5 linked regions of the Kluyveromyces lactis genome follow. The protein of the gene in region 2 purifies or fractionates together with the protein of the main gene of each other region. This does not show direct contact. Links are inferred from orthologs where the notes say so. Each region holds a gene or a part of one and is shown on either strand. Other genes may lie near its edges. The genes, in order: MSC3, PIL1, KLLA0_D16236g, KLLA0_F13618g and HSP104.

What was found.
Region 1: the proteins of PIL1 (region 2) and MSC3 purify together in Saccharomyces cerevisiae (affinity purification with mass spectrometry, with the first as the bait; 3 studies listed by BioGRID). This does not show direct contact. The link is inferred for Kluyveromyces lactis from reciprocal best matches to the Saccharomyces cerevisiae genes PIL1 and MSC3.
Region 3: the proteins of PIL1 (region 2) and KLLA0_D16236g purify together in Saccharomyces cerevisiae (affinity purification with mass spectrometry; 4 studies listed by BioGRID). This does not show direct contact. The link is inferred for Kluyveromyces lactis from reciprocal best matches to the Saccharomyces cerevisiae genes PIL1 and YGR130C.
Region 4: the proteins of PIL1 (region 2) and KLLA0_F13618g purify together in Saccharomyces cerevisiae (affinity purification with mass spectrometry; 6 studies listed by BioGRID). This does not show direct contact. The link is inferred for Kluyveromyces lactis from reciprocal best matches to the Saccharomyces cerevisiae genes PIL1 and SEG1.
Region 5: the proteins of PIL1 (region 2) and HSP104 purify together in Saccharomyces cerevisiae (affinity purification with mass spectrometry; 3 studies listed by BioGRID). This does not show direct contact. The link is inferred for Kluyveromyces lactis from reciprocal best matches to the Saccharomyces cerevisiae genes PIL1 and HSP104.

The regions. Positions count from the first base shown.
Region 1 is NC_006042.1:1,230,470-1,236,336, reverse strand, and holds MSC3 (Msc3p), read left to right. Parts: upstream 1-2,759; coding exon 2,760-4,718; downstream 4,719-5,867. Other genes in the region: adenylate kinase ADK1, read right to left, coding at 1,065-1,748; HTA1 (histone H2A), read right to left, coding at 5,201-5,593. UniProt on the Saccharomyces cerevisiae protein: May be involved in the control of meiotic sister-chromatid recombination.
Region 2 is NC_006042.1:760,917-765,725, reverse strand, and holds PIL1 (lipid-binding protein PIL1), read right to left. Parts: upstream 2,273-4,809; coding exon 1,349-2,272; downstream 1-1,348. Other genes in the region: Golgi transport complex subunit COG4, read right to left, coding at 1-517; cleavage polyadenylation factor RNA-binding subunit YTH1, read right to left, coding at 3,129-3,761; FUN14 (Fun14p), read right to left, coding at 3,978-4,484. UniProt on the Saccharomyces cerevisiae protein: Negative regulator of cell wall integrity (CWI) in unstressed cells, probably by inhibiting protein kinase PKH1/PHK2 activity and regulating their downstream CWI pathways PKC1-MAP kinase pathway and protein kinase YPK1 pathway.
Region 3 is NC_006040.1:1,365,344-1,371,641, reverse strand, and holds KLLA0_D16236g (uncharacterized protein), read left to right. Parts: upstream 1-2,308; coding exon 2,309-4,924; downstream 4,925-6,298. Other genes in the region: KLLA0_D16280g (MARVEL domain-containing protein), read right to left, coding at 341-850; protein translocase subunit TIM44, read left to right, coding at 5,397-6,298.
Region 4 is NC_006042.1:1,259,447-1,265,695, reverse strand, and holds KLLA0_F13618g (uncharacterized protein), read right to left. Parts: upstream 3,389-6,249; coding exon 1,121-3,388; downstream 1-1,120. Other genes in the region: aspartate transaminase AAT1, read left to right, coding at 1-915; glutamine--fructose-6-phosphate transaminase (isomerizing) GFA1, read right to left, coding at 3,838-5,952.
Region 5 is NC_006042.1:1,665,920-1,672,199, forward strand, and holds HSP104 (chaperone ATPase HSP104), read left to right. Parts: upstream 1-2,362; coding exon 2,363-5,062; downstream 5,063-6,280. UniProt on the Saccharomyces cerevisiae protein: Required, in concert with Hsp40 (YDJ1) and Hsp70 (SSA1) and small Hsps (HSP26), for the dissociation, resolubilization and refolding of aggregates of damaged proteins after heat or other environmental stresses.

The sequences.
Region 1 (5,867 bases), about 470 kb from region 2:
TTTTAATCCAAGCATATATATGAAAACTCCGAAAGAAACCTGCCCAATAAAATGTCGACGCGTACAATAGTATAATAGGCGTAAAACCTGAGTTGATTATTTACTTCCTGAGTTCAAAAACTTCACTGAACACACTATTCATATCAATTCTGAGATCCTCACAGGAAAGTCCCATCAAATTTCTCTCTGTTCAGTGACACTGGACAGTTTTTTCTTAGATAATCTCATTGGCAGAGCATGATTATGTTCCCTAGATACATTAAATATACTGCAGTAGATTTTCAGGCAAATACACCTGCAAGTACCCGGTATATAATTCGTTTGTAACCTTGTACTGCCACTGTAGAATGCTTTATGGTGGCCAGTTGCATATAATCGTCACGTAATCACATCCTACGCTGTCTCTGCGCTTCAGATCTGCAATTTCGAAAAAACAAATGCGGGGAACCCTATTAAACGTTACAAAGTCCACAGAACAAGACGTAGTTGTATTTCTTCTAGAAGCAATTTTTTCCCAATGTTTCTTTACAGAACGACAACGACATTTCCCAGCCTGCCGCTGAACACTGTTATGCACATTTTGATCTGGAAAATGAAATAACATAAGACTGGAAGTAGAAGTGAGTATAAACCGCCTCAATTTAAGCATTAGTCCCGTGAGTGATGGCTGTCTGGCCTTTTAAAATCTTTTGCGAGGTAGGCGTATTAGTTGGATAGAGTAATGCATTGTCGATCTCGCTTCTGAGTATTCCGGTCGCTGGAGTTGTCTTATTCTCCCCCAAAAAAGTCAGTTCTTGCACGTAAGTGAAGCCTCTCTGACTACATTTACCTTGTTCCCTATTTTAAAAAACAGAACACTATTGGTATTATCGTTAAATGATTCTGTACTTTTGATGTTACATAAACTATACACCACCAAAAGAAGGTAAAAAAAAGCTAAGATACGATATCTTGGGTGAGGTGCTGATCATAATCTATGCTACTTTTTTGTTGTTTTTGATTCATATCCTGATTCGTTATAAAATGGGAAACACCATAAATAATAGTGAAATTTATATTCAAGTTTAGTTCTTACCCAAACACTTCAAGATATCAGACCAGACGGTCTTTGGAGGTTGGGAAGCGTCGACACCAGCCCAGATACCAGTTTTCTTGTAGAAATCGACAATTGGTTCGGTTTGCTTGTGGTAAGAAGTCAATCTCTTCTTCAATGCTTCGACGTTGTCATCAGATCTTTGGACCAAATCTTCACCGGTGATATCGTCCTTCATTTCAGTCTTTGGAGGGTTGAAGACCTTGTGGTAAGATCTACCAGAAGCTGGATGAACCAATCTACCAGTAATTCTGCTAACCAACAATTCATCATCGATCTTCAATTCAACGGCTTTTTCCAATGGTCTACCTTGTTGAGCCAACATTTCATCCAATTTCTCAGCTTGTGGGATGGTTCTTGGGAACCCGTCCAAGATGAAACCCTTCTTACAGTCTTGGTTGTTAGTCAACTCATCCTTAATCATGTTAATCATGATTTCGTCAGAGACCAACTTACCATCGTCCATAATCTTCTTGGCTTCAATACCCAATGGAGTTTGCTTGGCGACTTGAGATCTTAACATGTCACCGGTAGCCAAATGACAAGCACAGAATCTTTCGGTCAAGTTAGGAGCCTGGGTACCCTTACCAGCACCTGGTGGGCCAATCAAGACCATTCTGATGGATTCTGGAACATGGGACAAATCTTGGGACATCGCTGGTTACTTATATTTGTAGTTTTATGACTCTACTGATCGTTGAGGATATACCTGAAATTAAAGTACAAGAAAATAATTCATAAAAATTTAATCAAGATATATAATATACTAATATACTCTTGCATTGAAGCAATCACGCAAGAAAACAAAACGTGTCAGAAATTCTTATAACATTTCAAGTTCAGGTTAAACATGGAATATAGTTCTTCGTTCAAATTATCATCAACTTTTTTTTCATACTTATATAATTTTGATGTTGAAATTATCATGCTGGAATGAAAAAAGTGACTCCATTGATCCAAGAGAGAAGGGGGAAATGCGGTTACGAGTGGAATTCAGTTTTGGATAGTTATGTATGACGACCTCAGAGAGGTCGTCATTGATACAAGTACGAACATCACACGTTTCGAGGCCAGTGGCACGCGTAATTGAGCTGAGTGAGTTGGAGAGAGAATTCATCACTTTGTACGTCGTTGATGACAGCCCCAAATGTGATTTGGTCTGTGTCACGTGGTTTATAAATAATCACGTGACTGTATACATACATATATATCTTGTGTGCGTTCATATTCCGAACGGACCAAAACATCGTACCCTTACCTGGTAAACTTGTCCATCGTAAACCTGTCTGAATGTCCTTTGCAACAGACTGCTATTTTGAATCAGGTCCCATATTGCGTCTACTCCTTTCTGTCTCGAAGCAAACACCCTGGTTTCCTTGCTTTCTTGTACAGCCGTTTCTAACCGTTTCTCGATATAAATTCGCAGAGATAGCAAATTTCGATTGTTCCATAAGTGAAAAATGGAACATAAATCACAGAATAATAATAAAGGATGCATTGATATAAACAAAGAAGCATGTATATAAATACGGACATATATATAATATACCTTTAAATAGCGAAATTTGAGGAAGCTTAATTATACCCTTTTCGCTGCTCGGCTTATATCACTATTCTTCTCTGGTCAAAGTGCTATACTGAACAGTATACATCGAAATCCTCAACAATGGTATTTGGTATGAATTTAGGAAACAGGAGAAAAGCCACTAGGGTTCCAGACTTATCCAGGTATGACTATCATTACAATGGTAGCGGTGGTAATTCTGTAAATCAGGGTGATAATTACCTTAAGAGCCACGAGCTTTCTGCAGATGCGGCCTTTGCTGCTAGTGCAAGGGCTGGATCCCTGGTGAATTATCCAGAAAGAGGCTATACAAATATATCAAGAGCTAACAGTCTCCGGATGGGTCATCCTGGACAGCAGCAACAGCAATCGTCTTATATTCCTAGAAGTTACAGTTTTACTGCTCGTGGAGCATACGCTCCTCGAACCGGTAATGTCGGGAATAGAAGGTCTGTTTCTGCCATACCACGAACAGGTACAGCTTCCAGTCGTGGTGTTGGCAGTAGAACTGGTTCTATGACTGGTTCAGTAGCCAGGGTTGGTTCAAGGACCGGTTCATTTGCTGGAGGTGGTAACGGATCTATTATCATCAAGACACAAGAGGTTAAAGATATGATGGGCAGAACGCAATCGATCACGACGCAGACTATAAGAAGGATCAACGGGATGGAATACGTGGAAACTACCACGCAAACTGCTGGGCTGGTTGAAGACCCTCAGTTTCATTTCCAGCAGTTTGCTGAAAATGATGAGTTCCCAATCTCCGATGAGCTGTCCGCCACTCCTCCTGCTGCTCCGTTATCCGAATCGCAACCACGGACAAACCAGAGATTGGCCAATTTCAACTCGAATGCTATAAATAACTCAGCTGCGAATAACATCAGAAGTGATTCGGAAGAGGAAGGGGAAGAGCACTTCACTGACGCATCAGATGTCGTTGAAGAATCAGGTGCATTTGCGGAAGATGATCAGGACCATTTCCTGGCAAAAGTGAATAAAGTTGATGTTGATAACAATTCAAAATCATACACTTCAAGAAAACCCCTGGTCCAGAAACAGGGGGTGCAGCAGCAGCAAGAAGTTCAACATCAAGGTATATCGCAGGTTCAGAACACAGAAGCGAAATCAGTTGGAAGGAAAAGTACAATGTCCAAGAGGATGACTTTGAGAGATACTCCCAATGCACAACTTGAACCAGAAAAGGATACTACGGATCAAGCTACACCGGACAATAACGCCACGAAAAGAAAATCCATATTCAAAAGTAAGAAACGGAATGAAGCAGTTGCCGTCCCTACTGTTCCTACATCTGATCAGAAGACACTAAGCCAAGAGGAGATGTATGCTATAGCATTGGAGATTGCTCAACAGAAATATGGTCATCCTACAAAAACAGTTTCGCATAGTACAGACAATGGATCTAGAAACGAAATGACACCGATACTTGAAGATGCAGATGTCGAGCAACCACATGTGCTCCCGACCACACTGCACTTGCCCACGCGTGAGGAACAAATTCAACACGAACAATTGCAACAACCTACTGCGGCGATTCCAACAAATGAAAAGAGCCGACATCCAAAGAAAAAAGTCAAGAGTATACTCGATAGGGTTGTCCAGTTCAGCCAAGAGAACTCTGGTAATCAACCACCAAAACAACACCGTGGAAAACAATATTCTCAACAACCACCGGACGTCGCTCCGTCCAATGGAACAACTGACAATTTTGACACTAATGCCAGTGGTCATAATATTAATCACAATAACAATAATCACAATAACAATAATAACACAAGTTCTTCTTCTTCGCTTCGACACGAATCCGGGGCGAACCCCGTTGTCGTCACTGAGGATACCACGGTGCTAGCAGCTAGCACTGCTGCTACTCCTGTCGATGTAAACGAACCAGGCAATCCCGATCACGTGATCCCAGCCTCGTCCCCCTCCATCGATAACACCCCACGTATCAATGAGAAGACGAAAAGCAAGAAGAAGAACGAGAAAGGTTCGTTCTTCAAAAGGTTATTTAAATCTAATAAGACTCATATCAACACTAAATAGTTATACCGTTAATAGTAATTAATTTTTCTTTTCTACTCTCTTCTTGATCTAAAACAACTTTGTCCAAATTAATCTAAAATACATTCAAGGGAATATTCAATGTTAAAAGACAGGAAAAGGACAATAATGTGTCAAAATCAACAACACAGACAGAATTGAAAGTCATTGAAAGAAAGTAATCTAACCCGAAATTCATGACGATTAAAGATATACCTCATAACGTAGGATGAAGTAGTTTATATATATATTTAAAATATAGTACAAATAAAAAATAACTATCCCATACAAAGAGATGAAACAGAGAATCCCCCCATTTCTCCTTGTTTGATAAAGTAATTTGTGTGTTTAAAATGATGCCAATGCCAACTCAGAATAAACATAAGAAAGATATATTAGTGACAGACCCGATGAATTTTGTTTTCATATTAAAATAAAATTTGTATGCATTCCATTCTTTTTTTTCCCCCCTTTGCTCAGGCTTATTATAATTCTTGAGAAGCCTTAGCCTTGGAAGATTTCTTTGGCAACAAGTTTTGGTGAATGTTTGGCAAGACACCACCTTGAGCGATGGTCACGTTACCCAACAATTTGTTCAATTCGTCATCGTTTCTGATAGCCAATTGCAAATGTCTTGGGATGATTCTGGTCTTCTTGTTGTCTCTAGCAGCGTTACCGGCCAATTCCAAGATTTCAGCGGCCAAATATTCCAAAACGGCAGTCAAATAGACTGGAGCACCAGAACCGATTCTTTGAGCGTAGTTACCCTTTCTCAACAATCTGTGAACTCTACCGACTGGGAAAGTCAAACCTGCCTTAGCAGATCTAGATTGAGAAGCCTTAGCAGCAGAACCAGCTTTACCACCTTTACCTGACATTTTTTATATTGTATTATAGTGTTTGATTTGTGTGTTGTTTTTGATTTAGTAGTATCTGTGATGATGAACAACAAACAATACGAAGAGCTAAACTAGGAACAGAAGAGGAACTGAAAGTGCAAGAAGTGACCTCTTTATATAAGAAACGGTGGCACGGTAGTGCCACTGTGTCACTGAGCAAAGCACACGCTCACACAACAAAAGTAAAAAAAGAAAAAGCGGCAGCGAAAACAAACCCCCTGTTCTCACAGCTTCACCTGTGCCGTGAAACTCC
Region 2 (4,809 bases):
GAAGTTCACTAGTGGGTACACACCGCTGAACAAACTGCGAGTGTATTATAGAGTCTGGCAGCTGATCAATCTCATAGATACATTGGGCTATCATTGGGTAATTTGGTTCCTTCGTGTCTAATGCATCATTTATTATTTTTAGGTTATTCTTCAAAAGTTTGACAGAATCTACAAAATCTGCCAATTGATTAATATGGTCTGCTTCATCCTTGATGGAATTAAGCCTATTGGAAATTGATATCGATTGCACGTTAGAATTAGATAGAGATTCCAAGGCTTCATGGAAAAAAGACAATGTTGATGTTAAATTGGTCTTCCCTAACTCCAAGGACCTTACCGATTTGTTAATTTTATTATTTGAGCCTTTGATATAGTTGTTTAAAGCGTTAGAAGTCTGACTATAATCAGCTTCTATCAAATGAAGTAGCTTTGGTAATTGTGATTTGGTCGATAATTTGCCCGATAGATTCTCGAACTTCGATAGTTTTGAATCGAGTTGAAACTCGTCAATTTCCATAGTATTGAGAGTTATATTATCTTGAGAAAGAAGCAATGATGCAATTGATCAGTCACACAGTGTTTGGTCCCTATTCTTCTTGCATTTATAAGTGTTCATTTATATTCTTTGACTTGCCAAATATTTGGAATCATTGAATGATAGATTTTCAGTTGGAAATTTAAAGTTTGACGTGGTGAGAAAATGCACAGGTATAAGGGACTTAATAGAAATTTCAGATTATTTTAGAATTGCTGATACATAGTAGTACATAGGGAGAAACAATGAGTGTAAATGAGGATTGTCAATCCTTAAATCAATATTATATATATATTAAAAACATTTTTTCTTTGTAAGTGTCTTTCGCTTTGCTTTTCGTTTCCAGTTTCTGAATCTTTTCAACAGTATTTCCGTCCAATAATTTCAAGATTATGCGATGGAGACATTCAAAGAACAGACCAAAGTAATTCATGATCAGAAGACAGCCATTTCGTAGTGTAAGGCATAGTCATTCACAAAGAAAAAGATGCAAAAGGAATAGGAAATTGAATTTCCCACCTGTCTTCCTATATTCTCATGGCATAAAACCTTTTGGGAAAAGTCCCTTCCCCTAAAATTCTCTTTTTAAAGAGTTAATACTTGTATTTTATTAAAACGACAATTAAGAGATAGTAGTTGGCACTTATATTAAAGCAGGTAAGGTTAGTCGAATAGAGAAAAAAATTGCTTGCCAGCCAGTGGGCTACTCATTGAAAAGAATCGAAACAAAACGAATAGGGGCGAATAAGAGTATAATAAATTTGTGACAAAAGAGATTTTTAGAAGCACCTAAGGAGTAGAAGAGTGAGAAGTTTAAGCAGCAACTGGGTGTTCTTCTTGAGCTTCGGCTTCAGCTTCTTCGTCATTCCATTGTTCTTGGTCTTCTTCATCCAAGTAAGCATCATCGAAGTTTCTGATGGACAAGGATGGCTTAACAACAGCAGAGTCCAAAGTCCATTGGTTTAAGGCACTCTCAGCATCGATAATGATTTGTTTAGACGCTTCGTAACCGTCGTAAGCTGGTCTAGTCTCACCTGGAGTAACTGGAGCATCATCCAACAATTCCAAAAGAGCCTTACCGTAACCTGCGATCAAGGCCAATTTTTCAGAATGTTCAATGACGGAATCGAATTGGTAGTTGAAAGCAGCTCTTAATTTTGATCTCGTGATGTTAGACAATTGAGCTTCAGCAACAAGAGATTCAGCTTCAGCACGGACCAATTCTTGCTCCAAGACTTCAATCTTTGGAGATTGTGGGTCCTTGTACTTCAAGTAGGCAATCTTATCAGCGATCTTAGCTCTTCTTTCACGAGATGGTTGAACAGACCCTTCAATGTCTCTAACAGACTTCAAAGTCAATCTGTATTGATCGTAACGATCGATGAACTGGTCATCCAATTCAGACATTTCGTAAATCAAAACACCCAACTTATCGGTGATATCAGAAACGTCATCGTCATTTTCCAAACCCCACAACGACAATTGCTTAGCAGCATCTCTACGTTCGTTAGCAGCCAATTCAATAGAACGCAACACGTTTTTCTCAATCTTCACTAATTGAGACAACTTACGTGAAAGTTCAGGACCAAACGCACCAGCTGCGTTTCTTCTGAAACTGTAAGCTAAACCACCCTTACCGAAAAATCTGCTCTTGGTAGAAGATGGTGGTGGTGGTGGATTCTGTAAATCAGAGGCAGTTGGTGCCCTGGTAGTCCTCAAAGAATATGTTCTGTGCATGGTTGTAATATATGGTGTCTTTATCTTTTTTTTTAACTATTACTCGATCAAATGAACTCTATATAACTGAGCGTATGTTCAATATTAATAGCTTGCGTGTTATTATCACAATAGTAACCTTACTTTTAAATATAGAAGTGTTATATATATATACAAATAAATTACCAAATGCAATGGCAATTCTCCTAAAAGTGGCCGGAAGTTGCTTTGGAAAAACCTTGCTTCCATTAATTTTCCTTTTTACCCTTTTCCCTTTTTTTTATTTCTGTTTGTTTTCGTCGAAAATTTCATTTTCCATTTTGAGCAAAACCTCGCTGGTTCATAGACAGCAGCAGAGGAGAGACGAAGTGACGAAGAGGTACCGGTCGACAGCCTTGCTGTGATGCGAGACTGCCATCCCAGTAGCTGGCTAGTGCCAGTTATAGGTGTATTAGAAAACTGACTTCAAGAACTCACGCTGTTGCCTGGTGTACATTCATGCGTCCGCTCTCAGGGTTAATGCTTATCAGTATTGCAAGAAAAAAAAGAAACCGAAAGAAACTGTGGAATGGAGTGTTCTATACTGGGGAATATGTCGACCGCGTGTCCATAAATGAAACTCAGCGAATGATTTTGGCTGAGAGGTCTGATACCTATTGGATAAGCAATTTAAGGTATGTGAGCCTTGGTTCCCTTAATTTTTCAGGTGTGTTGCTTTTGCTGTCGGTTGATAGAATTATCCGGCTGTAACATTGTGTAGTATTATGTTACTTAGTATCTGTATCTGTATCGAATTACGTATGGTGAGCTGAATAGTGAATAGTGACAGCAGCAGTGGCTGAGAACGAACGCACTGATGAAAACTGAAAAAATTCAGTCACGTGACTAGGATGTCACCGTTGATAATGGCATTCAAGCGTCTTTCCCTTTCCTCATCCATCTTTCTTGTATTAATATGCTCGTCTTTCTTGATGCGCAGTTTGCTGTGTTCTGAAGGTACTTTGAATTTGGGATGCGACCAGTCGCAATCTTTACCCAGTGGACAAAACCCTACCAAGTATCTGGGGCAAAGTACCTTTTTGACATGTTTCTTCGTGCATGCAGGTCCCGATGGACAGAACCCCATATTATAATCCTCACATTCTTCTAACTGACTCTTGTGATCTACGTGCAAGTATTGACACTCCGGTGATTGTGTACAGTACCCGTTCTTGGTGAAGAATACACACTCGGGCATCTTTCTTAGGTTATACTCGTGTAAATATTCACATTGATCGTTCTTCTTGCAGAGACCTCGGAGCCAGTGCTTACAAACAATCTTGTTCTGAAATATCGGTAGCACATGCTTGTTTGGACAGCGTGCTCCGTTGGGACAGGATTTTATCCCCTCTCTTGAATTATAGTATTGGCATACCGGTCTATCTGGATCTAACGAGAACGAATATTCTTTCCGTAGAAATGGCTCGAAATTAAACTCGTACTTCGAGGTATCTGGATGAACTATACTCATTAGTTTAAACTCCCTTATCTCCTTGACAACCCAGTCTAATGTAGCCTACCAGTCGTTTATGAAAATGTCTTTGATGATTGGTAATTAATCATGTTACAAGCGAGTTACACACAATAATTATTTTACTAATTCTTAAATATAACGTTATAGGATATTCTGGGTTTTCACATGAGAAAAAGTCACGTGAACTGAATAAGGTAGCGTTCTCGGAACCAATCAGACGTTAAGTGCAGCTAGCACAAATGTCAAGATGAATGAGACTTTGAAGCTGGGTTTGTCCCAGATCAATGTGTTCAAATCAATCCTCTCACGGCCGATGGTCACAACGTATTTGGAAAGAGAACGAGTGCTGTCACTGCTGATAACTCCCCTGTTCTGCAAGAATTGTAACCCAACGAATCCAACCCCGGTGATGAACACGAGAAGACTTGATATCTTACCAAAGATAACACCGAACACTAGACCTAAAATTGACCCGTAGCACATTTGTCTGTAGTTGACTCTTCTTTGCTTCGAACTTATATCAACACGGCTTGGCAATCCAAGCTCTTGTGGTAGATTCGTTCTTTGCTTAACATCAACAATTGAATCGTTCATGATATATGAGCTTGGTTGCATCGAGTGCAACAACGATCCACCACCGACTAATAAACTACCGCTGAATCCAACATAAACACTTCTTCTTAATGGCACGCCAAGGTTTCTTGCTGCTGTTCTGAACATCTTTCCTAATTCTTTACCTATTATGTCGATTGGTCTGTCTTCACTCGAGGATATAAAACACAATTCTGAGTTGAACTAAATGAGACTGATTTCTAACCGAATTTCTTCGTTATCGAAAGATTAAATTATAAACAGTGATTTTGTCTACGAATTGTCGTTTTCTTAACTCAATAGCAATTTGCACGTACTTCTCAATATTTCTTTATATAGCCATACTGACGATGGAGCCTGCGACCCTTTTTTTTCAACCGATGTTGAAATTTAAGAATCATACAAAACCCAACATGCTGAAAAGAATAGGATTTGGGTGACAGTCATTATAAAA
Region 3 (6,298 bases), on a different chromosome or scaffold from region 2:
GAGAGAAAGAGGGAGAGACAATGGCCAATTATAATTTAACGGCTTTGTTGTTGTAATAATAGTAAGTAGCAGCGGTAAAGTAGCAGCAGCAGTATTAGTAGAAAGAGGAAATAATAGATGAAGTAGCAGGGTATGGTATATGTATACAATAAAGGAAGAACGAAAAAAAAATAGGGGGGGGGTATAAGAAGTTTTTCTCTTTCTTTCAAAGTGTTGATCGTGTCCTCTCTCTCTGTCTCTCTCTATTGTTCAAAGAAGGAATAGTGGAAGCGGGAGCGAGAGCGGGAGCAGAAGATTACGCATCTCCCTCTCCCTCCCTCTCTTTTGTATCATAAACTCTTTAAACTTGGGAGATGGTTGGGACACCGACTTGAGTCTTTCTGTTGGAACTGGTCCCGAAAGCACCGGAAGTGATAGCATTAACAATGCTCAAGATGAACTTGACCAAGAAAATGGCAAAGGAGAAGTACAAGAACACAGTAGAAGCTTGTGCCTTACGACATCTGTCCTTAGAACCTTCAGCAATCTTGTTTCCGGAAGTGAAACTGTCGTTAGTACAAGAACCACCACGGATACCAACGGCCAAAGCAGTGGCTGCAGAGAAGGTGAAAACCCAGTTCAAGAAGTCCAAAGAGACTAATATGATAGGCCAAGCCAAAGCTGAGATGAAGTTAGCTATCAAAGCATACAACGAGTCGAAAACGATACCGAAAACAGCAGCAAAGATAGCAAAGTTAACTCTGGAACTAGAATGGTCCTGAGTAGCAATCAAATTACCGACTAGACCGAGAACAATGATTAAAAACACAAAGTTAACACCACGAAGCGAATTGTCTAAGATTGAAAGCATTTTCTATTTTTTTTTCTTATATTAGAGTTTTGGTTTAATTTCAGCTTGAGAGATTTCTTTTACCAACTTTTTATCAAGCAAGCAATCAAATTCGAACTTAATTTATCTTTTATTGATGTAAAGACTTAAACCTTAATTGATAACAGAAGTATTATTAATTAAACAATAATAGTATTATTTTATATATTAAGTAAAAGAGTGAAGGAAAGAAGTAAAGTAAGAACCAGAAAAAATTTATAATTTGTTTCCCTTATTTATTAAAGGATAGAACCATACAATATATGTAATCATTTCCGGATTGAAATATTTCTTCCTTAAACTTTTACCCTTTATATACCTGCACTCAAAAAACTCTGTATAACTAATACCATTTAACAGAAAGAGGCAAAAACAATAACAAATGCAAAAGACAACAGTTTCTTCTCTTCTCATTACCAAGAAATGGTTTTTTTTTTTGTTTTTTTTCCGTGCTTATACTTCTTCATTCAGTTCTTTCAGAATAAAACGTAATTGCATCTGTCTCTACTAGACCCAATTGTTCTGCCGAAAGCAACCAGAGAGACCTAGAATTGAAACTGGAACCTCTGGATATCTCTCTGGATATCCCTCTGTATCGAATAGAAATAAAGAAGTGCCTCATTCATAGCTTTTAGTTTCAGTCTCTGCTCTTCCGTAGTACCTGCAATTCTAGCGGTAAGGTTTTTGTTTGTTCCAGCGTTTTCCAGTTTCATAACAAACCAAAACAAACGAACAATTGACAGCAATCTCAGACCCGGGCGCAGTATCTCAATGTCTTCTCGGCTTGAAAACAGCAAAACAAATAAAAAAAAAAAAAACTTTCTGTGATGACATGGAAAAAAAAAAGAGGGAAAACCTTGAATTCGCTCAGATGCCGGTGCAGCGACGAGTAAGAAATAGGGGAACATGCATTACCCGGTATTAGACATCGCTACGGCAGAACCATTCAGGTTTCCTGCCGAAGATGAGAAAAGCATACGTCTTTTGTTTTAGGGGAGGCAGGGTAATGTAAACAAAACCGTCCCCTGGGTCCCTCTTTTTGTTTCTTTTTTTTTTGTTAGTTTGCTTATTTCCGTTGTCCAGTGTGGGGGGGCCGAGGCCATACAAAAAATGAGTGGTTCTCCGTGCGTTTTTTGCGCTTGCTATTGCTGTTTGCTCTAAGAGCAAAATGGGATGACCTTGGCGATTTACATGCGAGAATATGAGGTCCCTTCAAAATTTCCAATGTGATATCGGTGTTACCCGGCTTTCTTTAGTTAGCCGCGTGTTACCCTGTCGGATCTCCCTTTTTTTCCTCCCTTTTCATTTATTATACCTCCTTTATATAAATAAAGGAAGGAAGTTTCTTTGCATATAAACAACGACAGCGATTAGACGCTGATCCTGATTTAGTTTGGAACGCACACAGCAGCATCCTATCCCATAGAACTCCAGTTAATAATGGTCGGTTTGAACTTGTTTAGGAAACGGAACGAAATTGACCCCTTTGCAGGGTTGCTCGATGACGCGGACCATGCCGCCGAACAGCAACAACAGCATGATCTTACCAACAGTAACAGTATTTTGAAGCGAGTTACCACGAAACAACAGCAGCACCAGGAAGAACTAGATGATAATGAGTACCATTCTCCCTTCCGTACGGCGGAAGAAACTCAACGTGCGCGTCAAGTGAGACAGGAGAAGTTCCCTACTCTGAGCCAAGGTGCGGTACAACTTGACCCGGAACAGATGGGGTACAGCGTTGTTACCGACAAGTCAGTGAAGAAGGCCAAGGATATTATTATTCCTTCTGGGTTGAAGGATACCGAGGCTGAGCAGAAGGTTAGATTGACTGCGTTGGAAAAGAAGGAGAAACAGTTACGTTATTGGAGAAAGTCTCAAAAGATTGTGGATTTAACCAAGCCACAGGAAGCAATTGAAGCGTCGGATAACTTGGACGAACTGGATGAGGTGGACCCTAGTAAGGAACCTCCCATTGAAGATGTAGCTGAAGCTCTAGAAGAAGCCGAGGCTATGGCTGAAGACGATGAAGAGGAACCAGTTGATCCGAAACGCGAGCCAAAGCCTGAGGCCGCGCTGAGGGCTTTTGAAGAAGCTGAGGCAATTGTTCAGGACGACGAGGAGCCTCCAGTGGATCCTGAAGCCGAGCCATCAGCAGCAGTTGCTGTTGAAGCTCTTGAAGAAGCAGAAGCCATTGCGCAGGGCCAAGTTCCTCCAAGAGTCCCGTTGGCTGAAGAAGAAGAACAAGAAAATCCAACCGGTGTTTACAAGGCCCCGGAAGATGATGCTAATGAATACGTCGATCCATCTCGTGAGGCTAGACCAGAATCGGCTGTAAGAGCCTTCGAAGAAGCCGAGGCTATTGTCCAGGATGACGAGGAGGAACCGGTCGATCCTAAACGCGAACCAAAACCTGAGGCCGCTGTGAGAGCGTTCGAAGAAGCCGAGGCGATTGTCCAGGACAATGAGGAGCCTCCAGTGGATCCTGAAGCCGAACCTTCCCCGGAAGAAGCTGTTGAGGCATTCCAAGAGGCCGAAGCTATCGCAACTGAGAACCCAGAAGCTATTTCTCCTCCACCAGATATCAATTCTGCCCCTCGTGTTCCATTCACACCCAGTGGCGCCAATAAGGCCGGTACTGCTGCAGCTACTTCTGGAATTGCAGCTTCAGGCTTATTTGCCCTTTTCAAACGTTCGAAGAAACCAGAGTCCTCGACCAAAGTTGCTGCAAATGCCGCTGCTGGCACCGTTGTTCCAGGCGATGATGCGCCAGTGGCCACCCCTGAAGATCCAGAGTTAATTGTCAGAACACAAGAAGGCTACGTCTCGAAGTCTGTTTACGATAAGTTGCAATACGACGAGGACCAGCACCAAGCCAAGTTGGCCCTGTACTCCAAGGAACAAGATGAAAGGTATGAAACTAAAGCCCAAGAGTACGAGGAAAAGATCCAATCAATTCAAGCTGAAATTGCTGAATTGGACGCGCAAATGGAACAGGTTAGATTGGAACATGAGGAAAAGTTGAAGTTGAAGCAAGTTGAGAAATCTCAAGCATTACTAGAAACTAACGTCAAGCACATTAACGCCAAGGGTGATCTGTACAAGCAAACTGAAGAAATCAAGAACCAAACCATCTCAGATAAAGAGGACAAAGAAGTTGCTCACCAAACTGTCCAATCTGAAATTGATGAATTGTTGTTGTTGAAAGATGAAGTTGCCAAGGAAAACCAGGAACACGAATCGAAGGTCGAAGAGTTGACAGCAGAATTGGATAATAAGACATCTGCATTGAATGAATCCTTGGCTAAGAAGGATGAAACTAATGCTGAAATTCAAGCTTTGGAAGAAGAGAAGGCCAGATTGGAACAAGAAATTAAAGAAGCTCAAGAACTTCACCAACAAAACGTCTCCAAGATCGAAAGTATCGACAACAAGGAGTACTTACCTAAGGTCAATGAAATTAATACCGAAATTTCTTCACTACTTGCTTCGTTAGGTTTAATTCAACAAGAAATTGCCAACCAAAAGGTCGAGTTTTCTAGTGTTACTAGGAGATTGGAGGAAGAGCGTAAACAACATGAAGAACAATTGCTAAAAGAAAAAGAGGAACGTGAGCGTTTAGAAAAGGAGCGTTTAGAAAAGCAACGTACCGAGTACGAAAAGCAAGCTGAAGAAGCTCGTTTGAAGCACGAAGAAGAGCTGGCTAACCTGAAGCAAACTCACGACGAGGCGCTGAAGGAGGCACAGTTGCAACGTGAAGCTGCGGCCAAACAACTTGAAGAAGAACAACAGAGACGTGAACAAGTAGAACGTGAAAGAACTCGTCTACAAGGTGAAAAGGCTATTGAAGCACAACAACGAGGTAATCCCGAAGACAAGAGACTGGAAGCTGAACACGAAGAAAAGTTGAGAAGGCAAGCAGAAGCTGCCAGTGCAGTCGAAAATGCCCTGAAGAGTAGCAACAAAAAAACGAAAGCAGCTGTTCCACCTGCAAACACCACAAATTCTTCTCTATATGACTACGAAACCGTTGAAGAAGTCATAACTGTTGATTGAATAACAAAAGAGATCTTAAAACGAAATAACATTAAACATTGGACTTTGTAATTTCTAAAATATGTCGTTTCTAATTTATATTGATTTATCATTCTACTTCTTTATCCATTAGATAAAGTTGTGCACGAAGGGGATAGCCAATGTACTCCTTGTCTTGTCCCACTTCAGTCTTTCTTGTTTGATATAAATAAAGCGGACTTTTGAGAAGTTTTTTTTTTTTTTATTTTTTGGAATGAAATTTCATGAACAATCATCGATTTTATTCAAAGTTATTCATGAAAGTAATATCTTTCATTATAATCACAGAGCTCATATAGTTATCGGAGTTTAATTGGACTTACTATATCCAAATAAGTAGTTAGAAGTTAGGCTGTGAACAGTTACTACTTTTGACTGTCCTTGACCGTATCGTCACTTTTTTCCAGCCCTTTCTATCGGTATTAAATTTACCTCTTTACAAATCATAAGGCCAATGTTGAGAATTAACGGCCAGCAAGCAATGATGCACAAGGCAGTTGCCCGTGCTTCCACCGTGCGTACATTCACAGTCTCTGCTAAGGCTATGAGCAACCCTAGATCTCCGTTACAGATCTTCCGTGAAACTTTTAAGCAGGAATGGGAGAAGTCTAAAGAATTACAAGACAATATCAAAGCTTTACAGGATGCTTCTGGTAAGTTAGGTGAGTCCGAAGCTTACAAGAAAGCTCGCGAAGCGTATGTCAAGGCTCAGAAGGGTTCTACTATTGTGGGTAAAACTTTGAAAAAGACCGGTGAAACTGTGGAAACCATTGCCTCCAAGGCATGGGATTCTGAAATTGCCAAGTCCACCAGAAAAGTTGTGAACAAGACAGCTGATAAGTTGGATGAAAGCTTTGAACCAGTTAGAAAAACGAAAGTTTATAAAGATGTGAGTGAAGTTATTGACGATGGGGACTCTTCTCGTTATGGTGGTTTCATCACCAAGGAACAAAGAAGATTGATGAAGGAAGAAGCTATTGCCTCGGGTAAAAGATCCAGAGCTGTGAAATCGAACGATGCTGCTGGTACTGCGTTAGTAGCTACAAATATCGAATCTAAGGAATCATTCGGTAAGAAGATCGAAGATTTCAAGGAAAAGACCCCAGTCGGTCGTAAATTACATGAATATAAGATTAAACTGTGGGACGAAAGTGAGAACCCGTTAGTTGTCATGCTAAGAACTGTCTCTGGTAAGATTGGTGGGTTATTTGCAGAGACCGAAAGTGCGAGAGTGTACGGTCAGTTCAAGATGATGGATCCAACCTTCAATACAGAAGATTTCACCAAACACTTGAGAGAATATATCATCCCAGAAATCTTGGAGGCCTATGTTAAAGGTGACGAAGCTGTGCTAAA
Region 4 (6,249 bases), about 500 kb from region 2:
CAAACTTTGAGTGGTACCGGTGCATTAGCTGTAGCTTCAAAACTCTTGGCAACGTTTGTGTCGAAAACCGTATGGATACCAAATCCATCTTGGGCTAATCATTCGAACGTTTTCCAATGGAACGGATTCAATCAGATCAAATATTATACGTACTACGAGGATGGGAAATTGAGTATCGATAAATGGCTCAAGGAACTCAAGGAGAGTTGTAGTTCTAGGGACCCCGACTGGCCCCCCTCTATAGTGTTACACGCTTGCTGTCATAATCCAACAGGAGTGGACCCTACGTTGGAACAATGGCAACAGATATTGCCAGTGATCCATGATTTAGGAATAACTCCCATAATAGACATGGCGTACCAAGGAATGGAATCAGGGAACCTTATACAGGATGCTTATCTATTAAGAATGTGTCTAGAATACGAATGGCCCAACGGTCTATTTGTGTGCCAATCGTTTGCTAAGAACATGGGCTTATACGGTGAACGTGTAGGTTCGTTAAGTGTCGTTGTCCCACCAAATCCCTTGGATCTCAAATCAACCATCGACTCTCAACTAAAGAAGATTGTAAGAGGTATATACTCTTCTCCACCGGGATATGGGTCTCGTGTAGCGAACTTGGTGCTAAGCAATCCAAAATTGAAGCAGCAATGGTTCGTAGACGTTAAGAATATGTCTGATAGACTATGGAACGTTAGAATTCAAATGCATGAGAGATTGAATTGGCCCAATCTTGTTGATTTTAAAACACAACATGGGATGTTTTATTACACAGGGTTAAACCCATATCAGGTTCAAATTCTGCAGGAGAGGTACGGTATTTATTTAACTGAAGACGGCAGGATGTCGTTATCTGGAGTTAACGACGGTAATATTGATTATTTATGCGATTCTTTGCGCCAAGTGGTTCAATAATCACATCAAGATGTTTCAATATCATCAAATTGACTTTAATTAATTTCACTTTATTTATTTATTTATTTATTACTACAAAGCTTCGGTTTGAATTGTACATTAGATAGTTTTTAGTGTTCTTAATCACAATTTTTGGGTAACTAGAATACAAAAGGGATTATAAATGCCCATTACATGTGTTTCGTGTTATATTAGTCGCTACTTTTCAGTGTTTCTTGTTACCGAAAAGCTTCTTTAGTTTACTGCTGAAGTTGTTCTTCTTTTTCTTCTCAGTAGTGTGAGTTGCGTTTATTTGAGGCTCTGGCTGAGGTCTCAAAGTAGCATGAGGATTGTATGGCGCGGGTGGAGGAGGTGCCGGTTCATATTCGCTTGAAACTTGAGTAGATCGACTCCCTTGGTTGCTGAACTGTAGGTTTGCGGATTCTTCGTCCGAATCAGAGTCGGCAAATCTTGATTTGAATCCATGAGCAATTGACGACGCTTTTGGTTTGTTATTGTTGGTATTGGAAGCAGGCAGTGGTACTGATCCGGAGACATACTGTACACCATTGTACGTTACTCCACTTTTAACAGGGGTTGAGTTTCTAGATTGTCTTTGTTGTGGATGTGGTTGGAATGGGGCTTGAGGCTGCTCGTACTGGTCAGTGAGTTGCGGATCCTCTCTCAACGATAAGTTTTTAAATCCAAGGTTGGTGGACATCGGTCTTTGCTTTTCGAAGCTTGAACGCTTTTGAGGAGGTTCCCTTGGGTAAAGTCCACTATTTTGTTGCGATTTGGCATTGTTGGACGGCTTCCCTACGACACTTCTAGGTCTAGCATCGCGAGGGGAAGCAACACCGGAATTATTCTGCATGAAAGAACGTCTATCACCATTAACTCTTTGAGCCATCATTGATTGCGGTCTTTGAGAATTTCTCTTAGGAGCTAGAGGCTGCTGGTTTTGCTGTTGCTGTCTTCGGTATTGATTTTGTGCTTGTTGTTTGCTGGCGGTTTCTCTCAAACTTTCGTGAGAAAGTTGCGCATTTAACCTAGTGTTTTCCTTTGTTGTTAAAGACAGATATGCGCTTGAAGCTTGAGATTGTTGTTGAAGTTGTTGGCTGTTGTGGTTTGTTTTCTTCATTGCGGATTTTATAGGTGAAGGAGTCTTTTCTAATGGAATCTTAGGGGTAACAAGAGCATCCTCCTCATTAACTCTCTGGAGTTCTGGATTAGCGGACCTGATATACTGAGCGAGGGTGCTTTTGCCTGTCTCCGGTTGGGACTCCGGTTGGGACTCCGGTTGAGATTCTGATTGACGTTCAGCAACGATAGGATCTTGAACTTCAATTTGATGTTCCTCTTCATCAACCACTTTTTCAACTATAGTTTCCTGGACACCATCGTTGCCAGGAAGAGCCTTTTCTTTTGAATCCGGAATATCTACTTTAGATGTGTTATGCTCTGCTTTTTTGAGAGATTCCTTGTCAGTTTCCTTCTCGGCATTAATCGTTTCATCTGGCAAAGAAGTAACTTCCTTCTGATGTGTAAGAATAACGTGTTCTTCTTCTACCACTTGCTTTGAATCAAGGTCGATCTTTTGTTCAACAGCTTCTTTGGTAACGCTTAGATCAGTATGAATTTTTGGCTGTTCTTCTTCTGTCGCTGAGTCTATCAAATCTTTAGTGATAGCTCTTTCAGGAGTCTGTGGTAATGCAGTACCGTTACCGAAGGATGGGGGTTTGAATTCTTCGACTGGAGCTGATGTTTCTTTGGCTGTAGTTGCATAGACAGTCTTTGTGATTCTAGGCACCGGTGATGGCGAAGACCTATAATGAGTAATATCCGCTTTTTTTTCTTCAACGGTAGGAACTTCTGTAAGTTTTTTCAATGGGGTTCCAGAAGGTGTTCTATGTCCAATTGAGTTTGCTCTTAAAGAGGCATGACTCCTTTTATTAGAAAGTGAGTTTCTTACAGTCATCCCACCACGTAAAGAAGTCGACCTTCTAAGACTGTTTCTCCTCTCAGCCTCGTACTGTTCCAAAGGAACTTCGACTTTGACCAACCCATGGCTGCTAGGAATGTATCTAGATACCATTTTAGGCTCATTATTGTCATTATCAACACGTACCAGACCACTGGGTCCTAGCACATATTTGGCCTCATTACCACCAAACTCATGGAAAACCTTGTCTGCATCGCTTTGAGCAACCCTGTTACCACTCTGTACGGAACGCATCGAGCCATACCTGGAAGAACGATCTCCAGTATCACTAGCATGTCTCACAGAGTTCCGACGAGAACTTGGTTTGGGACTGTTTACCATCGAGTAGGAACGGCCACTTATACTGTTATACCTGGGAATCTTACTCTTATCTACAACCTGGCCCCCAAACGAATCCTTAGAAGGTACCAGTGCCTTCCCAATGGTGTTTGCAGCAACCAAAGCACCAGGATCAATAGAACGCGATTCTCTTGACTTTCTAGAACGAAACATTTTTTTTATAAAAGCAACAGCAGCTTCTTTAATCCCTCTCTTGAACCAATTCCACTTAATATATACTTTCAGCTGACTGATACACGAATTACACCTGTTCTAGTGCCCTCTAACAAACAGTAATGGTATTTTACGTGCCTTTGCTTTCGTTATTTCTGTTGATGTTCGGCACTTAAAGTTCGATTTGAATGTTTTGCCCTTTTTTTTTTTCTGTTTTTATCTCAAGGTATCAATCATTCGAAAAGAAACCGAAATAAGACCAAATCGGACCTAAAGGTATGAAAACAAGAGACAAGAGGGTTACCATTGGTGTTACAATGTTAATAGTAGGTAGGAGGGGAACGGAATTGATCTGACGGGTTTGTTAATTATATATGTGGAGAATGTATCGGACAAACTAGAAAAATTAGATAAACTGTACGCAAAATGAGAAAAAGATAGAGCCTTTCTTACTCGACAGTCACGGATTTAGCCAAGTTTCTTGGGAAATCGACGTCGATACCGTTGTTGACTGCCAACCAATATGAGGTCAATTGTAATGGGATAATGTTCAATAGACCTTGTAGACAGTCGACAGTTTGTGGAACTTCCAAAGTAATCAAATTGTTGGCCTTGGCCTTGTTTTGCCAAACTTCATCGTTTTCGTTGCAGATAATGATTGGATGACCCTTTCTGGCTATCACTTGTTCGATTGAGGAAAGGACCTTTGGGAATAGGGAATCTCTGGTACCGAAAGCGATGATTGGTAAATCTTCGTCGACTAATGCTAGAACACCGTGTTTCAATTCACCAGCAAGCACACCTTCTGAATGCATGTAAGAGATTTCTTTGATCTTCAATGCACCTTCCAAGGCACTTGCGAATTGGTAACCTCTACCTAATAGAAGTAAAGATTTCTGATCCTTCAATTCTTTAGCACAAAGTTCTTTGATCCTTGGTTCCACGTTCAAGACTTCTTTGATTTGACCTGGAATCAATTTCAAACCTTGGATGATCTCGTTTCTTCTTTCGATCTTGGAGACTCTATCGTCTGATAGAGAAAGAGCCACCATTACTAATGCAATATATTGTGATGTATAAGCTTTTGTTGATGCAACACCGATTTCTGGACCAGCATTGATGTGGACACCGCAGTGAGTACTTCTAGAAATGGAAGAACCAACACTGTTCACGATACCCAAGGTCAATGCACCTCTTTCCAAACAGTAATTCAAGGACAACATGGTGTCAGCAGTTTCACCGGATTGGGAAACAAAAATACAAACATCGTCTCTAAAGATTGGGCATTTTCTATCCAAGAAATCTGACGCTAATTCCACTGATACTGGAATCTCCGTTAGCTCTTCGAAAATGGCTCTTGTAGCTAAACAAGAGTGATAAGAAGTACCACAGGCGATCATTATTAATCTACGAGCTTTCCTGATGGCAGACAATCTAGACTTTAGACCACCCAAGTTGACCAGATTGTGTTCAAAATCTATTCTACCTCTCATGGTGTTCAAAGTAGATTCTGGTTGTTCATAAATTTCCTTTTGCATGAAATGTTGGTATGGACCCTTCATAATTTGAGCCAATTCCATCTCAAGGGTTTGAATGGATCTGGTGGCAGATTCTGTCAATTTTTTGTTAGCTCTATGGATGTGCAATTCACCGTCGTAGATGTGAGCAATATCATCGTCTTCCAAGAACAAGACCTTCTTGGTGTGTTTTACAATGGAGGCAGCATCACTGGAAAGGAAAAATTCGATTGGAGATGGAGAACCGTCTTCTGATAAGAAAGCTCTTGATTGAGATCTACGCAAGGTACTTTCGTCACCGGCCAATGGAAGCAAACTTCTATCAGCATCGTTCAACAAGTTACATTCGTTGTTAACTGGCAAATCTGGTAACTGCTCAGAATCTGGGAATTCAACGTCGACGAAATCAACCTTCAATTTCTTTTCAGATTTAACACCGATCAACAATGGGGAACCCTTTCTTGTGGCGATGATTTCATTTGGATAATGAGTAGACTTACACAAAAGACCGTAAGAACCTTCCAACTCTTGCAAAACTTGCATCGTTAACTCATGGAAATCTGGATCATGACCGTTCTTCAAATTTGTGTCGTAGATATGCTTGAATAACTTGGCAATACATTCAGTATCGGTATCGGATTCAAACTTGTACCCTTTATTCGTCAAAAGCTGTCTCAAATCTCTAAAATTGGTGATGATACCGTTGTGAACCACAACAAAAGTACCGCTTGGATCAGATCTGTGAGGATGACAATTCACCTGTTTTGGCTCACCGTGTGTAGCCCATCTGGTATGAGCAATACCACAATGAGTGACAAAATGCGCGTCCCTGTTTGGCTTATGAGCTTCGATCTCTTTCTTCAAAGCAGAAACTTTACCGATTTGCTTGTAAATAACAGTTTCGTCTTCTCTGTCACCATCAATAGCAATACCAGTAGAGTCATACCCTCTGTACTCTAATCTCTGCAAACCTTCCACTAAAGTATCGATGATCTCGCCACGAGATTTCTCAACTAAAAAATTACAATAACCAAAGATACCACACATTCTATCGCGTTCCTAAACTATCTTGCCTCAGCGTCTTTTCTAATGCTACCGCTGGAACACTTTAGAGTTACTGGATCCTTTGTTAGCTTCTTTCCTTTCGAACGCTTGGCATAAAACCCTGAGTGAATAAGTCCAGTTTATATTTATACCATATGTGTTCTTTATTTATATAACACAAAAATTTTTTTGTTACTATAATTACCAGTTTTAGAAATGTAAATACAGTGTGATCCATAAAGGCTTGAAACAGAGAAGACCAAAGGACCAGAGGTTTGAGTTGTCCTGATGGAGGTTGTA
Region 5 (6,280 bases), about 900 kb from region 2:
TGTGCAGTGACACAAAGGTTTCTCTTACCTATTTTCTGACATGGCTCTCTGATTCTGTATTTGTACCCCATTCCTTGTCACGCTGAAATATTTTAAATATATAAACCTCTTTGTATAGGATAAAATTACTTCTCTTTTTACCGTCACAAAAGGCACTTCTCTTATTCTACTTTACAGTATTATTACCACCTAGAAACTCTCTAAGGAACTTTTTAAATAAGCACTCGTATTCCAACCGGTTTTTTAAACAAGTCCAGGAAAACAAACTTACCAAAGTCTTTATTCAATTACACTTAAAAGAATATATCTGTCATGCAACAAAAAAAGCTAATTCCAATTTTAGTCGCTCTTCCAATAGCACTAGCAGGTGCTGATAGAGAGTCTGCGCCAGTTGTTTATGAAAATCCAGAGAAAGCCTGCTACCTTGCAGAATTTCCTCAGGTTGGCTCCGATAAGGTTGGTGGATACATCACACTTTCACTAGTCTTGATGGAATTGCCAAGGTAAACGTCAGAATATCGACTTTGGAGCCAAAGCTTCAATATCACATCCACGAAAAACCAGTTGATCCATCCGATCCAACTTGTGAGTCTACAAAAGAACACTTGAACCCTTACAATGGGCAGGTGCCATGCGGTAATGATATCTCCAAATGTGAAGTTGGTGACTTAAGTGGTAAGTACGGTAACATCGACTACAGTTATTACGAGACGGAATATTTGGATCCATACTTATCATTGATCGAGGGTGATCCCGCTTTTGTTGGAGGTAGATCAATTACCTTACATTATTCTAATGGTACAAGATATGCATGCGCTGACATTGTTCCATGTGAGAAATTGAAGCCATCTCCAAAACCACCAAAGGAAGACAAACTAAAGGAGGACGAACCAAAGGAAGACGAACCAAAGGAAGACAAACCAAAGGAAGACGAACCAAAGGAAGACGAACCAAAGGAAGACGAACCAAAGGAAGACAAACCAAAGGAAAAAGATCCAAAGGACGACACATCAAAGGACGAAAAGTCTGAGGAAGAGAAGCCAAAAGAAGATAAAAAAACCAAGAAAGAGAAGAAAAAGGCTAAGAAGGAAGAAGAGAAAAAGCAAAAGGAAGATAAGAAGAACAAAAAACATAGTGACAAGAAGAACAAAAAACATGATGATGATGATGAATACTCCGAAGCTGAACCTTCAGTGACTGAAGAAAAACGTGTTGAGACGAGTTTCACCAAGAAACCACATCACACTACCTCTGCTGCATTGAAGGAAGGTTACAAAGAGGTAAAGAACGAAACGGACACTGAATGGAAAACAGATGACGGTCACTACAATGGCACTGAGACTGATCATTCTACTGCCCTAAATGATGCTTATAATTGGAAGAGAACTTCGTCCATAGGCTCCATTATTGCTTTCATGATGTCCTTGTTAATTTGATTCAAAAACGAAAGATCATCACGCACATGAGCTGGAATATCTAGTTATACATATGTAGATCTTACAAGGAAAATAATAATATGTTGCTATCCAAAACTTGACACAATGCCAATGATATTGTCTTAATTAACGTGAATTACAAAACTGACGCCTGACATCGAAACAGAAGTGCGTTCCAAAAACCTAGCGTTAAATTTCAAAATCTATCACGTGATGGTGATCCACTTGTTCCAGTTTTTTTCTTCGGTTTTCTTTGTGGACATGCACTTTCGAGAGTCTTCCAGAAAAATCCGGTAATGTTCTAGCTATCACGGTTCCGGACTCTAGCTTAGAGCAGAGTGAATTTTAAGTAGCTTTACAATCCCCACACAGCTTCTACATTGCCGTAAGCAACATGCTGGGATAGCTGGTTGTTTGATCTAGTATTCAACTAACAATAAGGACGTACTTACAATTTTCTATTTTACGTAGCCATGAACGTCAGTCCCAACGGTAATTTAAAAGCTTAACCTTGAGTGAGTGAATTATTCGAGAATGTACTGGTTTATACTGGAAAAGTAATGTAGTTGTTAGAGCTTTGTTTGTCTGTGAATTGGGCAATACTAAAGCTGGGACTGGTACCGGGAGATAGGGGTTGAGGTATATTTTGCTTTGCTATTAGTTTTCTTAATAAGGTGATTTTAGGGTATCTTTTGATAGATGCTTATAGAAAGAATAGGTGAAAAAAAAAGTTTATAGAATATAAGCGTAGTGAAGAGGTATATAAAGGGAGACCATCCGAAGAATCATTTGTTGAGTGCTTCCTGCTTTGGAATTCAATTACATCAATTGTATCAATAGTGGTCTATCTGATAGAAATAAACAACAATTGTCAGGATCATCAAACGCATCAACAGTTTATTGTCTAGAAAGAAGATATTACTACAATGAACGACGAAACACAATTTACAAATAAGGCCAACGAAATTATCCGTTTGGCCCAGAAATTGGCTCAGGATCACAGACATGCTCAGTTACAACCAATTCACTTACTTGCTGCATTTGTTGAGCCAAACGAGGATGGTTCTGTTGGATTCTTACAAAACTTGGTGGAATTAGCGAAATATGATTATGAACCTTTGAAAAGGGCCATCAACAGAAACCTAGTCAGGACTCCATCTCAGACGCCCGCACCATTAGAAATTCAGCCAAGTTATGCTTTCGGGCAGGTCTTGAAAGATACTTCAGAAATTAGGAAACAGCAAAAAGATTCATTCGTCGGTCAAGATCATATATTGACTGCTTTGTTCAAAGATGCAACAACTCAAAGCATTTTTAAGGAGTGTTCCATTGACATAGAATCTGTGAAGCAGCAGATGCTCGAATTGAGAGGCAATCAACGAATTGATTCAAGAGACGCTGATACAAATGAAAAATGGGAATATTTGAAGAAGTATGCGATCGATATGACTGAACAGGCTAGAGCAGGTAAGTTGGATCCTGTTATCGGTAGAGAAGAAGAAATTAGAACTGCCATCACTGTTCTTGCTAGAAGAATCAAGTCAAATCCATGTTTGATCGGTGAGCCAGGTATTGGTAAGACTGCCATTGTAGAAGGTGTTGCTCAAAGAATTATCGACGATGATGTTCCACAAATTCTACAGGGTTGCAAATTATTTTCTTTGGATCTTGCTGCATTGACGGCTGGTGCCAAATATAAAGGTGATTTCGAGGAAAGATTAAAAGGTGTCTTGAAAGAAATCGAGGAATCAAAGACTTTAATTATATTATTCATCGATGAGATTCATATGTTGATGGGCCAAGGTGTAGATGATTCTGCCAATGCTGCTAATATTTTGAAACCAGCCTTATCTCGTGGTGGCTTGAAGGTAATTGGTGCCACTACCACTAACGAATATAGATCTTTGGTCGAGAAGGATGGTGCTTTCGAAAGAAGATTCCAGAAGATTGATGTCCCTGAACCAACGACAAGGCAAACGGTAGCTATTTTGAGAGGTTTACAGCCAAAGTATGAAATACATCATGGTGTTAGAATTCTAGATAGTGCCCTAGTGTCTGCAGCTCAACTAGCTAAGAGGTACTTGCCATACAGAAGATTACCTGATTCTGCTATTGACTTGGTTGATATTTCATGTGCCGGTGTCGCTGTTGCTCGTGATTCTAAGCCCGAAGAATTAGACAATAAAGAGCGCGAATTGCATTTACTACAGGTTGAAATCAAGGCATTAGAAAGAGATGAAGAAACGGATCCAACGACAAAAGAAAGGCTACAACAAGCCAGACAAAAGGAAGCTTCATTAATTGAGGAATTGGAACCAATGAGACAGCGTTACCAACAGGAAGTGGATTCTCATGAACAACTAAGACAAGCCAAAAAGAAGCTCGATGAATTGGAAAACAAATGCATGGATGCCGAACGTCGTTACGATAATGCTACCGCAGCTGATTTGAAATACTTTGCTATTCCGGATATCAAGAAACGTATTGAGGAATTGGAACAAAAAGTTGCTGAAGAAGAATCCAGGGAAGGTTCTGAAACAATGGTGAAGAACGTGGTTAACAGCGAGGTTATTGCCGAGACTGCCGCTAGAATGACCGGTATTCCAGTGAATAAACTAACTGAATCTGAAAACACAAAGTTGATCCATATGGAACGTGAGTTATCGCAACAAGTTGTGGGTCAAATGGAGGCTGTGAAAGCCGTTTCTAACGCTGTCAGACTTTCTAGATCTGGTTTGTCTAACCCTAATCAACCGGCATCTTTCTTATTCCTAGGTTTATCTGGTTCCGGTAAGACTGAATTAGCTAAGAAAGTCGCATCCTTCTTGTTTAATGATGAAAAAGCTATGGTCAGAATCGATTGTTCAGAATTGATGGAGAAACATTCAGTTTCGAAATTATTAGGTACTACTGCCGGTTACATTGGTTACCAAGAAGGTGGTTTCTTAACTAATCAATTACAGAGAAGACCATACAGTGTGTTGTTATTTGATGAAGTCGAAAAGGCCCACCCTGATGTCTTGACCGTTCTTTTGCAAATGTTAGATGACGGCAGAATCACTAGTGGTCAAGGTAAGACAATTGACTGTTCGAACTGTATTGTAATTATGACTTCTAATTTGGGTGCCCAATTTATCAATGCTCAGACTGGATCAAAGGTTACTGAGGGTTCCAAAGAGTTGGTGATGAGTGCCGTTAAAGCACATTTCAGACCAGAATTCTTGAATAGAATCTCAAGTATCGTGGTATTCAACAAGCTTTCTCACAAGGCCATTCACAAAATTGTTGATATCAGAATCAAAGACTTGGAGAAGCAATTTGCGGATAATGATAAGAATTACAAGATCAACGTTTCACCACCAGCTCGGGATTTCTTGACCAAGAATGGTTACTCGGAGGATATGGGTGCTAGGCCATTGAACAGATTAATTCAAACCGAGATTTTGAACCCAATGGCAATCCATATCTTGAAGGGTGAGATCAAAGACAAAGAAATTGTCAATGTAGAAGTGGGTGCCGATGGATCTCATTTAGAAGTTTTACCAAATCACCCAGCTTCATCAGAAATTGGTGATGAAGACATGGATTTGGACTTGGACGACGATGACGACTTAGACCTAGACTGATCTAAAATGAATTACAAAAAGAAAACATACAAACAAACTCACTCAGTAATAAAATTTCAGTTCAACAGTACCATCATATATAGTGTAAAGTACATATTTTTTTCACTTTCTTTAGTATAATATTTTGACTTTTACATGTTTTCATGTTCATAAGAGGTGCAAACCAATGGTGCTGCTGTTATTCATACAAGCGTACTAACTAAGCATTCTGGCTGAGTTTGTATTACATGTTACTTAGATGGGCAGGGTTCTTTCAGCCTTTTTCACTGATTTCCCAAGTCAGTAAGTCCAATTTTGCACATGATTCAAAAGAATTTGATTGGTCTTTCTTCAAATCATGCTTCTTTCCTCACGAATGTTAATCTTCGGCTTTTTTCCTCTTCTTCCCTCGTTCCGTGGAGTTATTGGCTGAGTAACATCCCATATACCTTTCGTTCTGGGCATCGCTAAACATGCTTGGTAAAGAGATAGACGTAGATCATTTTCCCTGAAAGGCTTCCATTATTACATGTCAAAAATTAGCAGGCAATCAGATGGACTAAAGCGTACGCTCGCATTTGGATACGAGCCTCTCTATAATTCGAAGACACACGTACCAATGTGTGGGATAAGACGCAAACGCGTCGGAAGGGAAGGAACGGAAAAACGCTTATCGGCCTCTAAGAAAGAATGCAGAAGCGAAGAAAATCCAGCACTGTAAATTCGTTTCATTTCGTAGATTCATCTCAGGTGCCTATTTTTTAGTTTGTATGCAAAAGGACATGTGTTCTCCTTGGTTTTTTTTATCTACAGAATGAAGGAGGCCGGATCTTGGCAGTAACTGTTGTTCGGATTACAAGATTGAAATGTTTCTGGCTTATTAAGAGTACAGGAACTTGAGGGTGATTTACCGGTACTTTGTTTGGTTCGATTTACTATTTTATTGATTGATTGAATTATGTCTTACAATTGCCATGGTTACCACAATTCCTATTGTGCTAACAGATACTATAATTATTATTTATTTACCTGTGCCACGCTAACTAGTTCAAGTGCGGATTTGTTTTGCATATAAGGAGAGCAACCCGTTTTTTCCCAACTCTGCCGTTGCATTTTTCCAACACCGTTTTGAGTATGAACAATGTGCCGTATTTGCATGCAAGTTAAAAAGAAAAAACAGTCAATAATGCCACTGTGGGTAAACTCATAATTGTCATGTTGCCAGGGTTTCTTTCCATA